Tribolium castaneum: one gene and its partners. The protein of the gene in region 2 interacts with the protein of the main gene of each other region in a pairwise test. Links are inferred from orthologs where the notes say so. Each region holds a gene or a part of one and is shown on either strand. Other genes may lie near its edges. The genes, in order: nuclear RNA export factor 1, SF2 and RnpS1.

Region 1 (3,756 bases), on a different chromosome or scaffold from region 2:
AAAAGCCAGTTGAATGACTACAAAGCACCCACAAGCCCGTCAAGTGATTCGGACGACTTTGACCCCACGGATATTGAGGGTGAAACTGTTTTTGCCGAAACTTTATCACTCTATAGGCACATGAGACGCGACTTGTTATTTAATTTATCAGATTATGTCATGTTGGAAGTCAGGTCACAAGGTAAAGCCTACAGGAGGGAAAGGTGGTCCTCTATGAATGTCGGTAAAGACATCAAAGGCCTGTCTTTAACACCCACAGCCTGCCCTATTTTCGAAATCGTGGCTAAACGACTACACCAACTGCAAAAAACTCTAGCTTCGAAACTTTTTACGATAGTTTGGCGCTCGGTTGCGCAACAATTAGATAATTACCTCTTTGAGGATCTTGTCCTTGATAATAGATTTAACACTGGAGGCGCTTTGCAGTTAAAGTATGACGTAACAAGGAATTTACTGCCGTTATTTTCGCAATATACCGAAAGGCCCGAAACGTATTTCGTCCAGTAAGTTATTTACTCAGTCGGTAAAGTGGAAAATAAGAACTGTTGCAGACTGATTGAAGCTTGCAATCTTTTAAATATAACTAAAGGGTCCGCTTTGCTACTACGAGAGACTCTCTTGGCTCTTGAGGGGGCCACAGGTATTGAGGACTCCCGCGGGAGAGCCCTCAAGGAGGTTGGGGTGGTCAGCTTCACCCCAAAAATGGCCGTTAAGATTCTAAACCAGCGCACCGACATTACTGTTAATAGGATGGACGTTGATTGAAGCATTTATACGTTTTGTTGAGAAATTTTATAATAAATGTTTTCCCCACCATTGCATTTCATTGAATCACCCTGTAAGTGAATCTAGAGTAGAGTATAAAATGTTACTTCTGGGCCAGAATATTTGGCGTCTTAAAAAACAAGTCAGAACCTTACAAATTTCCTGTACTCTACTATTCAAAAGTCGGTGATTTTCTCAGGGAATTTGGCCTCGCCTTGTTGGCAGCGCGTATCAATGGCGTTTACTTGTCGAAAGTGAAGTGGTGTTAAATCAGGCTCAAAAAAATTATTAAAAAAACAATAATAGTTATAGTTAAGTGCTAGTAAGTAATTGAGACGCTACTATGGCCTCAAAGGGCGGAAAATACAACAAACCGTCGTGGAGAAGCCAATACAGTGGTAAGTCCCCAGCACACTCCACGCGATTCGTTTAAAACGCAGTAAATTGCCAGAGCATGATTTTCGCGGCGGTGGCGAGACCCGCAAAGTGAGTTTCAAGTCAAACAAGTATAAAAAGGACAATAGAAACTGGGCAGCGGCGAGTAGGGCGTACCTGGAAGATGAAGACATTGACATGGGGGCCTCGTCCGGGGGCGGGCGAAACTTCAACCGGAAGCAGTTTAAAGGCAGACGGGGCGGTCGCGGGGACTCGCCCGTGCCCAATCACAAGAAACGGCGGCTTTTGGAGAGCCCCTTCGGTTGGTACCGCGTGACAGTAAGTGTATTAAGTGAGGCTTTTTGGGGGTTTTACACGTGTTTTGCTAGTTGCCGTTTGGGAATAAATACGAGAAGGCGTTCGTCTTGAAGACGCTGCTCGAGCGGATCCAACCTTTGCCCTTGTGGCCAATTACGGTAATGGTTTGTTTGTGTGAGGGTTTTTGACTGATTTTTTGTCTCCAGTGGAGTGTAAACGGCACAACTGCCACTTTTTACATGGATGAGTTTAAAGCCGCGGAAAAGCTGTACGATTTAGATCGCCAGATTCAAATGCCCGACGGGTTTAAATTGCTGATTAAGGTCAGTCATGGGATGCCAAATGTTGACGTTAATAGTGAGATGAAGGAGAAAATTAAATTAACGATGGCTAAGCGGTACAATGCCGCTAATAAAGCGCTCGATTTAACGAAATTCCACGCCGACCCTGACCTACAAGACAATTTCTGTGTACTGTTCAAACCGATCATTTTTCTAACAGTTTTGGAAATAATCGCGGAGAATATCCCAGAAATTGAAGCGATTAATTTATTCGATAACAAAATAGCAAACTTGTCGTATTTAAAGAAGACCAATGAGAAACTGCCCCATTTAAAAATTTTGCATCTAGGAAATAATAAGGTAATGTTGTTGCCCAAAATCGGGGATTTTGTAAATTTGGGGATTCAGTTTAAGGATCTGTCAATGTTGGACCCTTTTATTGGACTACCTATCGTCGATATTGTTTTAAATGGAAATCCATTATGCAACAAATACAAGGACCAAGAGGCGTACATTGGGTAATGTTGAACTAATTTATTTTTTGTAGTCATCATGTTATGAACGTGAATGCATATGAGGGTGACTGGTTATCGGAGATTGTCACTTGAATAAAAAAGAGGTTTTCTGCCAACAATGGAATAAAAGTACTTGAAAATTATTAACGAAATTTGTTGTTACGCAAATTTCAAAGTCCCAAATTTTCGCGATAATTTGTTTAAAACTTAAGTAGCATTACATGTGGCTTCGTTGCATTGTGGCTGAATTCTGCATTTGGCAACCTTTTAATATTATTGTTTGACTATAATTAAGTCACTGAAGTGTATAAAAATAAAAAAAAATCACATACAAACATTTCCATGGGATTACATAATTTTTGTTTTGTATTATCAAAGTGAGAGGAGGTTTCTCAAAGGTGCGTCCTTACAGCAGTTACGAAGCTTCGTAAAGCGATAGCTGGACAAGCATTGCAAGATTTTGCTGTCCATAAACAATGCAGTTAGTTTAAGAAGACAGAAGAACTACAAGGAGTGGACCAGAACACTTAAATGTGTATGTAATTTGGCAAAAATGCTTGTAAATCAAGCAGATTGTCTTGTTTTTCTGCACCTTAAACAATCAATGACTCCTCATAGTACAATAATTATTATATTTTTTTGTTTTATGTAGTAATCTTATGGAATTGATACAAGACATAATAATGAAAAGAAATACTAAATAATACCGTTAAAAAATTGAAAAATTATATGCTCTTCAGTGGCGATTTATTCTAAATTTATTAGTTTTGTTGTTTAATGCAGGAGTAATATAAATTGTTGATCGTGTAATGCTGTTTTAGTTTTAAATTTACGAAGCTTGTCTTACTTTGAAATTGTGTAACAACTGTCTGATCGGTTGCAAAATTCCTCGGAGGTTTAATTCCCAAAATAACAAACTTCAATAAATTTTGATTGTTTAACACTTTGTACAAAATTAGATTTTCGTAAGTTTTTGAATTAAACTGAAGAGGGCACAAAATACTGGAGCTATTGTATCCTATTTTTTTTCAAATAAATAATGTGTTAGGAAATGAGAAGTGGCTGAAAATACGGTACAAAAATCACTAACTCAGAATTTGTGACTAAATCAATTTCCGTTCCTAGAAAAAAAATCAGCATAAAGCTGTATTTATTCTTTTTCATTTACATAATAATTTTTTTTTCGCCCAAATACTTCTTGAATGAGTTTATCCCACTAATTCACAATTGTAACATAGTTATAATTCCGTTCCTAGAAAAAAATTCAAAATAAAGCAGTATTTCTTCTTTTTTTATTTACATAATAAAATATTTACAACATATTTACATAATAAATTATTTTTGCTTAAATACTTGAATGAGTTTCAACGTTTCATCAAGGGTGGATTTTATAATCGTCAGATAAACCCCAGATAATTTATTTCTAGTATAATTACTATGGTTACAATTGTTATAACAATGTATTTTTCAAAATTTATTTCTTAGATAAAGTAATCCTACGA
Region 2 (3,434 bases):
TTTAATTCAAACTGAACCGAAATTTATTTAAAAAAACTGTTTCTGTGCATCATTTTTGAATCCGGAAATTTAATAGTTCTTCATCATTATTGTTAAAAGCAATTTTTTTCCACATTTGTGAAAGTAAGTAGTATATGGGCTATATGGCGCTTCATGAGTCTGTTTTTTCTAACATTGTTGGTCTGCGTATTTTATGATTTTTTTAATTGTCATATATTTTTCGTAATTAGCAGCCTCTCTACGGGTGTCTTTTGTTGTATTAAATCTTCGAGCAATTTGGGCCCATGTTCCATTTTTTTCACCGAACGTAATCAAGTATCTTTTTTATAATTTTGAACAAAATTGACCATATTTTTTTTGCGTTTAAAATTGCTACTTCGGTTTCTTTAATTTATCTGTTAACGATTTCAATAAAATTATAAAGTTATGTATATTAATAACGTTAATATTAAAAATGTTAAGCGATAAGCCAATGCTTAAGCGGCCAACATCGACCGGTTAGTTAAACCAATACTAAGCTTTAGCTTAGTCGATATTTCGTATCTGACCACACGGTGCCCCTAGTTTGGGACACCTCTCATTAAAAATTCCTACATTTGATCCTTAAATTCGATTAGGCGTATGAAGGTTATCAATTGTACCAAATTTTGTATTTTTATCTGAAACGGTTTCTGAAATATTGAGGAAAACCTACATGTTTATAGGAAATTTATGATTAAAAATAAATGTTCTATTACCTATTATACAAATTTGTAACAATAAAAACAGAACAGCCTGCATATCGGGCAATAACTCCGGAAGTATTAGACGTAATCTTATTAAGTTTATTCAAGTCAACCTCTTCATATTCTACTATAAAAATGGCCAGCTGAATTCAAACTTGGTCGCACATCTCTCAATGATGAGTTTTGTGAAGGATGACCAAAACAGTAACCACGGATAAAAACCTCAAAAAAATGCAAATTTCGATATTGGATAATCAGCGAATGAAAGTGTATGAGGTAGCTAAGGTGATAGGGATATCTGAGAAAAGGGTGTAGTTTATTTTGCACCAAGAATTAGATACGAAAAAATAGTGTGTGAAAGGGTGTCGCAAAGGCGCTCTGGCAATGGAAAAATTGACGAATTAAAAACATGAATTATTAGAACATTCTTTATATTCGCCTGATTTGACTTCCCCAGACTTCCACAATTAAAAAAAAAATGTGATTAGGAGAAATTATCACTCGAATGAGGAGGTAATAGCGACTATAAATAAGTATTTTGCAGAACTACCAGAAAGTCACTTCAGGGATGGGATTAAAAAACTAGAAACACATTGCACTAAGTGCGTTGAACTAAATAGAGATTATACTACAAAATAAATGCATATATTTGAATTAAAAAAAAACGAAGTCTTTTAAGATGAAAAAAATCGTAACTTAAAAACTATTGGGAATGTGGTGATTTTATCGACACCAATCGATTCCCCGGATCTTTTTACATAGGCTTACATCAAAATATTTACAATTGAATTTTTGCAGGGTTGCCACCGTCGGGCTCGTGGCAGGACTTGAAGGACCACATGCGGGAGGCTGGAGACGTGTGCTTCGCGGACGCGTTCAAGGACGGTTCAGGCGTTGTGGAGTTTCTCCGATACGAAGACATGAAATATGCTATAAAGAAATTGGACGATTCGAGGTTTAGGTCACATGAGGTAAGAGTTGTTTGGTTGTTGAGGGATTTGTGTTTTAATTTGGCGTCAGGGGGAGGTTTCGTACATAAGGGTGAAGGAAGATCGTGGGGGGAGTGATAGACGGTCAGGGGGAAGGTCACGCAGTCGTTCATATTCGCCCCGTCGGAGGGGTTCCCCAACATACAGTCCGGTCAAAAGGAGTTACTCCAGAAGCCGTTCTCGCTCCTAATTTAATCTACTCTACGGACTGGCCTTTTTGTATAATGTACGTATCAAAAAAACCGGGGATTTTTTTAATTTGATTGATTTAAAAAAAATGCAAGAGAAAAAAAGCGGTTGGTAACCCTGGAATTTGTATTTGTAAATGTGGGTATTTTAATTCTTCTGACATTCCTGGAAGAATCGTTTTTTTCTCTCCTCCATTCTTGTAATTTTTTAGACTTAAATTTTATAAAAATTTTCAATTAGGTTAGAGTACGGATAAGGCACTAATATGTATTGTTTCTTTTTTCTGTTACCGTACAATTTGCTGAGTCAATCAGCGTTGGACTGGTTTTTGGAAAAAATAATAAAGTCGATAGTAAAATAATAGACAATAAAATGTTATCTTTGACACACCCGGATGCAAGAGGAGTGGATGAATGTTGTTAGGAGGGAGTCTCAAAGATCGTGGAGGAGGATATTTAAACTTTTAACACACTAAGCATTGCATTTTTCGGAGTGTTGAGAGGACACCACACAATTAAATGGCTCGGTAAATAAGTTATTCAATTTTTCTAACAATGAAACACAATCATTTCAAAAAATTAACTGACACGTTTCTCATTGAAAAAACAGTGTTTAAACGAGATGTTTTGCAATGCGATAGGTCTCACAAACACGGGATTTTGATCTCCACTTCACCGGAAGGAAAGGACAAACTCCTAGGATTAGGATTTTTTAAATAAATTGTAGTAATTTTCGGGGGATTTTAATACTTTTCCTAGGATTTTGGCGATGAAGTGGATTTAAAACTGTTTGAGGATTAGGATAGGATTACTAGGATTAGGATGAGTGTACCGGAAGGACCTCGTGGATTTGTTCCCAGGTATTTGAGACTTCTTTTTCGTTTTTTATTAATATTTTTTTATCATTTTGCTTGACAAAAAGTGTGGCTTTTTGTTGTTTTCACAATTGCATGTTTATTTCAATAAAAAATTCTCAACTACAACGTCTTTTATTCATTATCATATATCCTAACGATATCCAGCGGTTTGGCGGGAAGATTCGTAACCGGACACTTCTGGTTGTCCCTCAAATACCGCAAAATGCAAGGAAAGCAAAACACGTATCCGGAAACAGGAAGAACAGTCGGTATTTTCCAAAATTGTAAACAAATCGGACATTTATTGTGATAATTTCGGGCTTTCCCATCGAGCTAAACAATCAAATTAGCACTACTACCAACACTATCACTAGACTCACCATTGGTGGTTTAACAGTTGGCAGCGCCGTCACACTATAATTCTGGTGAGCGCTCCAGGCTTGCAAAAACTGCAAGAAAAACGCCCCAAACTCGAAGGTACTTGTAACCGCGTTTTTCAAAATATTCAATTGCCACAAATCCGCCAAATGCCCTTTGAATAAAAGCGACCAGAAACTTGGCTCAGGTGGAAGTGGCTCCGAATACGCCAACTTGACATCAATCAATTGAAGAATCGGCAATTGAGCTTCGGTTTGTTGCGACATGTATTTAATATAATTGTAAACTGTGAGCAGC
Region 3 (3,453 bases), on a different chromosome or scaffold from region 2:
CAGCTGTGATGTAATTTATTGTAAATATGTATTGAATTAGCTTATTGTCATTCTAAATTTACCGCTTTGTAGATTAAATCAGATTATATGAAATTTTTATCTAATTTTTTAATAAGCACAAACCTGAACTAATCTACGAAGCGAATTTTGTCATGAATCATTTTTCAATTTTTCATAAAATTGTGCGTTTGTACTAGTTTTAATAAAATCACCAGAAACGTTATGTTGAATAAAATGGTTAACATTACTTGTATATTTTATTAACGAAATGTCGGGGACGTAGACACCTTGTTATTGTAAGACCGCTGTGTAAACCCACTCCGAAAAATGGGCGCCCTTGCGATATTTTTTGTGTCAATATTAAAGAGTATTTTTGCTGCAGTGCCAATTGAACGAGCTGAAAAGTGCCCAAGCCCCCTCGGCCCTCCGTTCAACCCTGCTCGATCCTGCCGTGAACTGCATCCTTCAGCAGCTAAAAACCGAGCTCCAATCGACCCGTTCCGAGCTTGAGGACACCAAGAACGAGCTAACGGCGTGGAAATTCACCCCCGACTCGAACACGGGCAAACGCCTGATGGCGAAATGCCGCCTCCTGTACCAGGAGAACGAGGAACTCGGCAAAATCACGAGCTCGGGCCGCATCGCGAAGCTCGAGAGCGACCTGGCGCTGCAGAAGAGCTTCTCCGAGGAGGTCAGACAGAGCCAGAACGAGCTGGACGCGTTCCTGGCCGACCTGGACGAGGACGTCGAGGGCATGCAGAGCACGATCCTGTTCCTCCAGACGGAGCTGCGCAAGACGAAAGAGAGCGCCCAAGTGCTGCAGAAGGAGAACAGTACGCTCAAGCTGGCCAATGGGCGGTCGAACGGTGACAGTGTGTGTGAACAGGAACGGACGGACTCGGACTCCGAGGCGGAGAGGACTACTTGTGTGAAACGCGTGCGAAGGTCGTCCGTCCTCAGTATCGACTATAACGAGGACGACGCCCTCGTCATCAGCACGAACGGTGACGTCGCGATGGCCTCCGACCCAGAATAGTGAGCTGAGATTAACCCAACTATTACGCATATAAACTGACGAACAGTATATTCAATTGTACATAGAAATATACTAGCCTAATGTGGTTGTTTCGAATTGTGACTTCAATCATTACTAAATTGTGTTGATCACTGCGGTGCAGTTGCAGAATTTTTTCTATTAGTTTTGGCAACAATGCAATATTTTATTACTTTCCCCCATTCAAGGTGTTATCAAGGTGCGCTTTTTTATCCATTGTTCGCATTTTATTCATTCGACCGACTCTGTTTTAAATTTGTCAGATTGTATCATTTTTTAACGTTTTTATGTTGAAAGTTGTATTTATAAAATAAAACAAAAATTATATCACTTATTATTGACCACGGTGTTTTACTTGTAGCTGCGGGGGTGCAAAATTCAATCTCCCACCGTTGGTGTAGCAGTTACAAACTTAAAGTCACCAGAACAGCGCTACCAACATCAAGTGGTCGTAGTAGCGTCGTTTTGCTAATTTTCCACAATTACACAGTTTTTCATGTAGTTTTCATACTTCCGCGTTAATACAGTGAAAGGTTTTAGTTCTAAACTTGTCCCGACTTTACAGGAATCAAGAATAGTCAGAAATGTGAGTATTTACGTTTTGAGGTTATGTTTGTAGTCCGGGAGGGCTTTCCACGATTTCCTTGTAGTTTTAGCACATTTTAACTCCCATGCATCACTTGTGTTTGCTCGATTTGCTTCCTTCAAGGTTCTTCAAGATCAAGATAATTTGTATTACAACAACTGACTTGTTTGTTCACTCCCGGACACCATTACTTTTTACAAATTTTTTGAGTTGGTTTTTATTGTTCTTAGGGCAAAAATAGGTTCTGATACGGAAAAGGACGACAAGGATAAGAAGAAAGAACGTGGTAGGGACCGTAAACGGAAGAGTGAGTCTGGTTCAAGCAGCAGCGATAGCAGCAGAAGGTAACACCCGAGTTTGAAGAGTTTGTAATCACCTAAAACACTTGATTTAGTTCTTCCGACAGTAGCTCGTCCAGCTCGCGCTCTTCGAGCAGTTCCAGTTCGGGCAGCAGTTCCCGCTCGAGCAGTTCCTCCTCGGAGTCCTCAAGCTCAAGCAGCGATAAAGACCGCAGTCGCCCCAAACGCCGTTCGCGCTCCACCAGCAAACCCACCCGACGCAGCAAAGAGCGCAAAGACAAAGACAAGGAAAAGGAGAAGGAAAAAGATGTCAAAAAGGACGATAAAGACGAGGTCAAAGACAAAGACGTCAACAATCGCAAATCCCCAGCGAAAGACGACAAAAACCACACCCGTGGCAAGTCTCGTTCGCGCTCGCGCTCAGACCGGCGCAAAAGGCGTCGCAGGTCCCCCACGCCACGCCCCACGAAAATCCACATTGGGCGTTTAACACGCACCATCAACAGGGAGCACATTATGGAGATTTTCGGGACGTATGGACCAATCAAACATGTGGATTTCCCCAAAGACCACATCCACCCACACTTGGGGCGGGGCTTCTGCTACGTGGAGTTCACCAATGCGGACGATGCCGAAAACGCGATGAAACACATGGATGGGGGGCAAATTGATGGACAGGAGATCACGGCGGCTCCGGTGCTTGTACCCAAGCCGAGACCGCCCCCCATGAGGCGCAGCCCCATGCCGATGCATATGAGGAGGCCTCCGCCCCACAGACGCACCCCGCCCAGATTCCGGAGGCGGAGCCCCATGCGACCGATGAGGAGGAGCCCGCCGAGGAGGCGCCCCCATTCCAGGAGCCCCCCGCCCAGGCGCAGGAAGCACAGCCGCTCCAGTTCGAGCAGTTCCAGATGATTTTTTCGATTTTAATTTTTTAAGGTATTGTAATGCGTGAAAAGGAATAAAACCGGAATTAAGGTATTGATAATCAAAGATTGATAAATGATAAAATTATTATTTTGTCATATTGGTATTACCACGTATTGCCTATCACATAACCTAGCTTTCTTCAAATAATTGTTACAAATGAAATTGATGGAAAATTGATGAAGATGACTCGTAAATCGTTTAAGTGATGTCTGTCTCACATAATTGTGATGAAAACCGCCGAAATCTCTTATCTGAAGTAATAATTTATTTTGACATAACCTCAAATTTAGCCTTTGCTCCAGGTTGAATCAGCAATATCTAACAATGACCTTGCCACCCTCAAGCAGCTTTTACCGCACCCTTTTGACCAAACCACCCTTCAGGACGAAAACGGCAACAACCCTCTGCACTTATCCATAATTTACGAAAAGTATGATCCCCCCTAACGTTCAGTAAATCCCTACCAAGTCCTGGTTTCAGGAACGCAATTTTTGACTACTTGCTTGATAAATTCGACTTGGAGGCGCAAAACCACTCCGGACACACAGCCCTATCCCTGTCCCTGCTCTACCACAGCGACATTT

Evidence for each region.
Region 1: the proteins of SF2 (region 2) and nuclear RNA export factor 1 interact in binary tests that used the Homo sapiens proteins (3 or more experiments, as listed by UniProt). The link is inferred for Tribolium castaneum from reciprocal best matches to the Homo sapiens genes SRSF1 and NXF1.
Region 3: the proteins of SF2 (region 2) and RnpS1 interact in a two-hybrid assay, tested with the Homo sapiens proteins (2 studies listed by BioGRID and IntAct, with this or other methods). The link is inferred for Tribolium castaneum from reciprocal best matches to the Homo sapiens genes SRSF1 and RNPS1.

The regions. Positions count from the first base shown.
Region 1 is NC_087399.1:3,671,222-3,674,977, forward strand, and holds the start of nuclear RNA export factor 1, read left to right. Parts: upstream 1-971; 5' UTR 972-1,108; coding exon 1,109-1,163; intron 1,164-1,216; coding exon 1,217-1,479; intron 1,480-1,529; coding exon 1,530-1,616; intron 1,617-1,664; coding exon 1,665-2,099; intron 2,100-2,147; coding exon 2,148-2,257; intron 2,258-3,756. Other genes in the region: Rint1 (RAD50-interacting protein 1), read left to right, coding at 1-503, 552-765.
Region 2 is NC_087401.1:8,584,796-8,588,229, reverse strand, and holds the end of SF2 (serine/arginine-rich splicing factor 1A), read left to right. Parts: intron 1-1,523; coding exon 1,524-1,696; intron 1,697-1,745; coding exon 1,746-1,904; 3' UTR 1,905-2,885; downstream 2,886-3,434. Other genes in the region: Pex12 (peroxisome assembly protein 12), read right to left, coding at 2,892-3,092, 3,140-3,434. UniProt on the Homo sapiens protein: Plays a role in preventing exon skipping, ensuring the accuracy of splicing and regulating alternative splicing.
Region 3 is NC_087399.1:5,873,459-5,876,911, forward strand, and holds RnpS1 (RNA-binding protein with serine-rich domain 1), read left to right. Parts: upstream 1-1,481; 5' UTR 1,482-1,638; coding exon 1,639-1,640; intron 1,641-1,870; coding exon 1,871-1,984; intron 1,985-2,034; coding exon 2,035-2,854; 3' UTR 2,855-2,932; downstream 2,933-3,453. Other genes in the region: fl(2)d (pre-mRNA-splicing regulator female-lethal(2)D), read left to right, coding at 383-1,036; ankyrin-3, read left to right, coding at 3,075-3,125, 3,172-3,299, 3,350-3,453. UniProt on the Homo sapiens protein: Part of pre- and post-splicing multiprotein mRNP complexes. Auxiliary component of the splicing-dependent multiprotein exon junction complex (EJC) deposited at splice junction on mRNAs.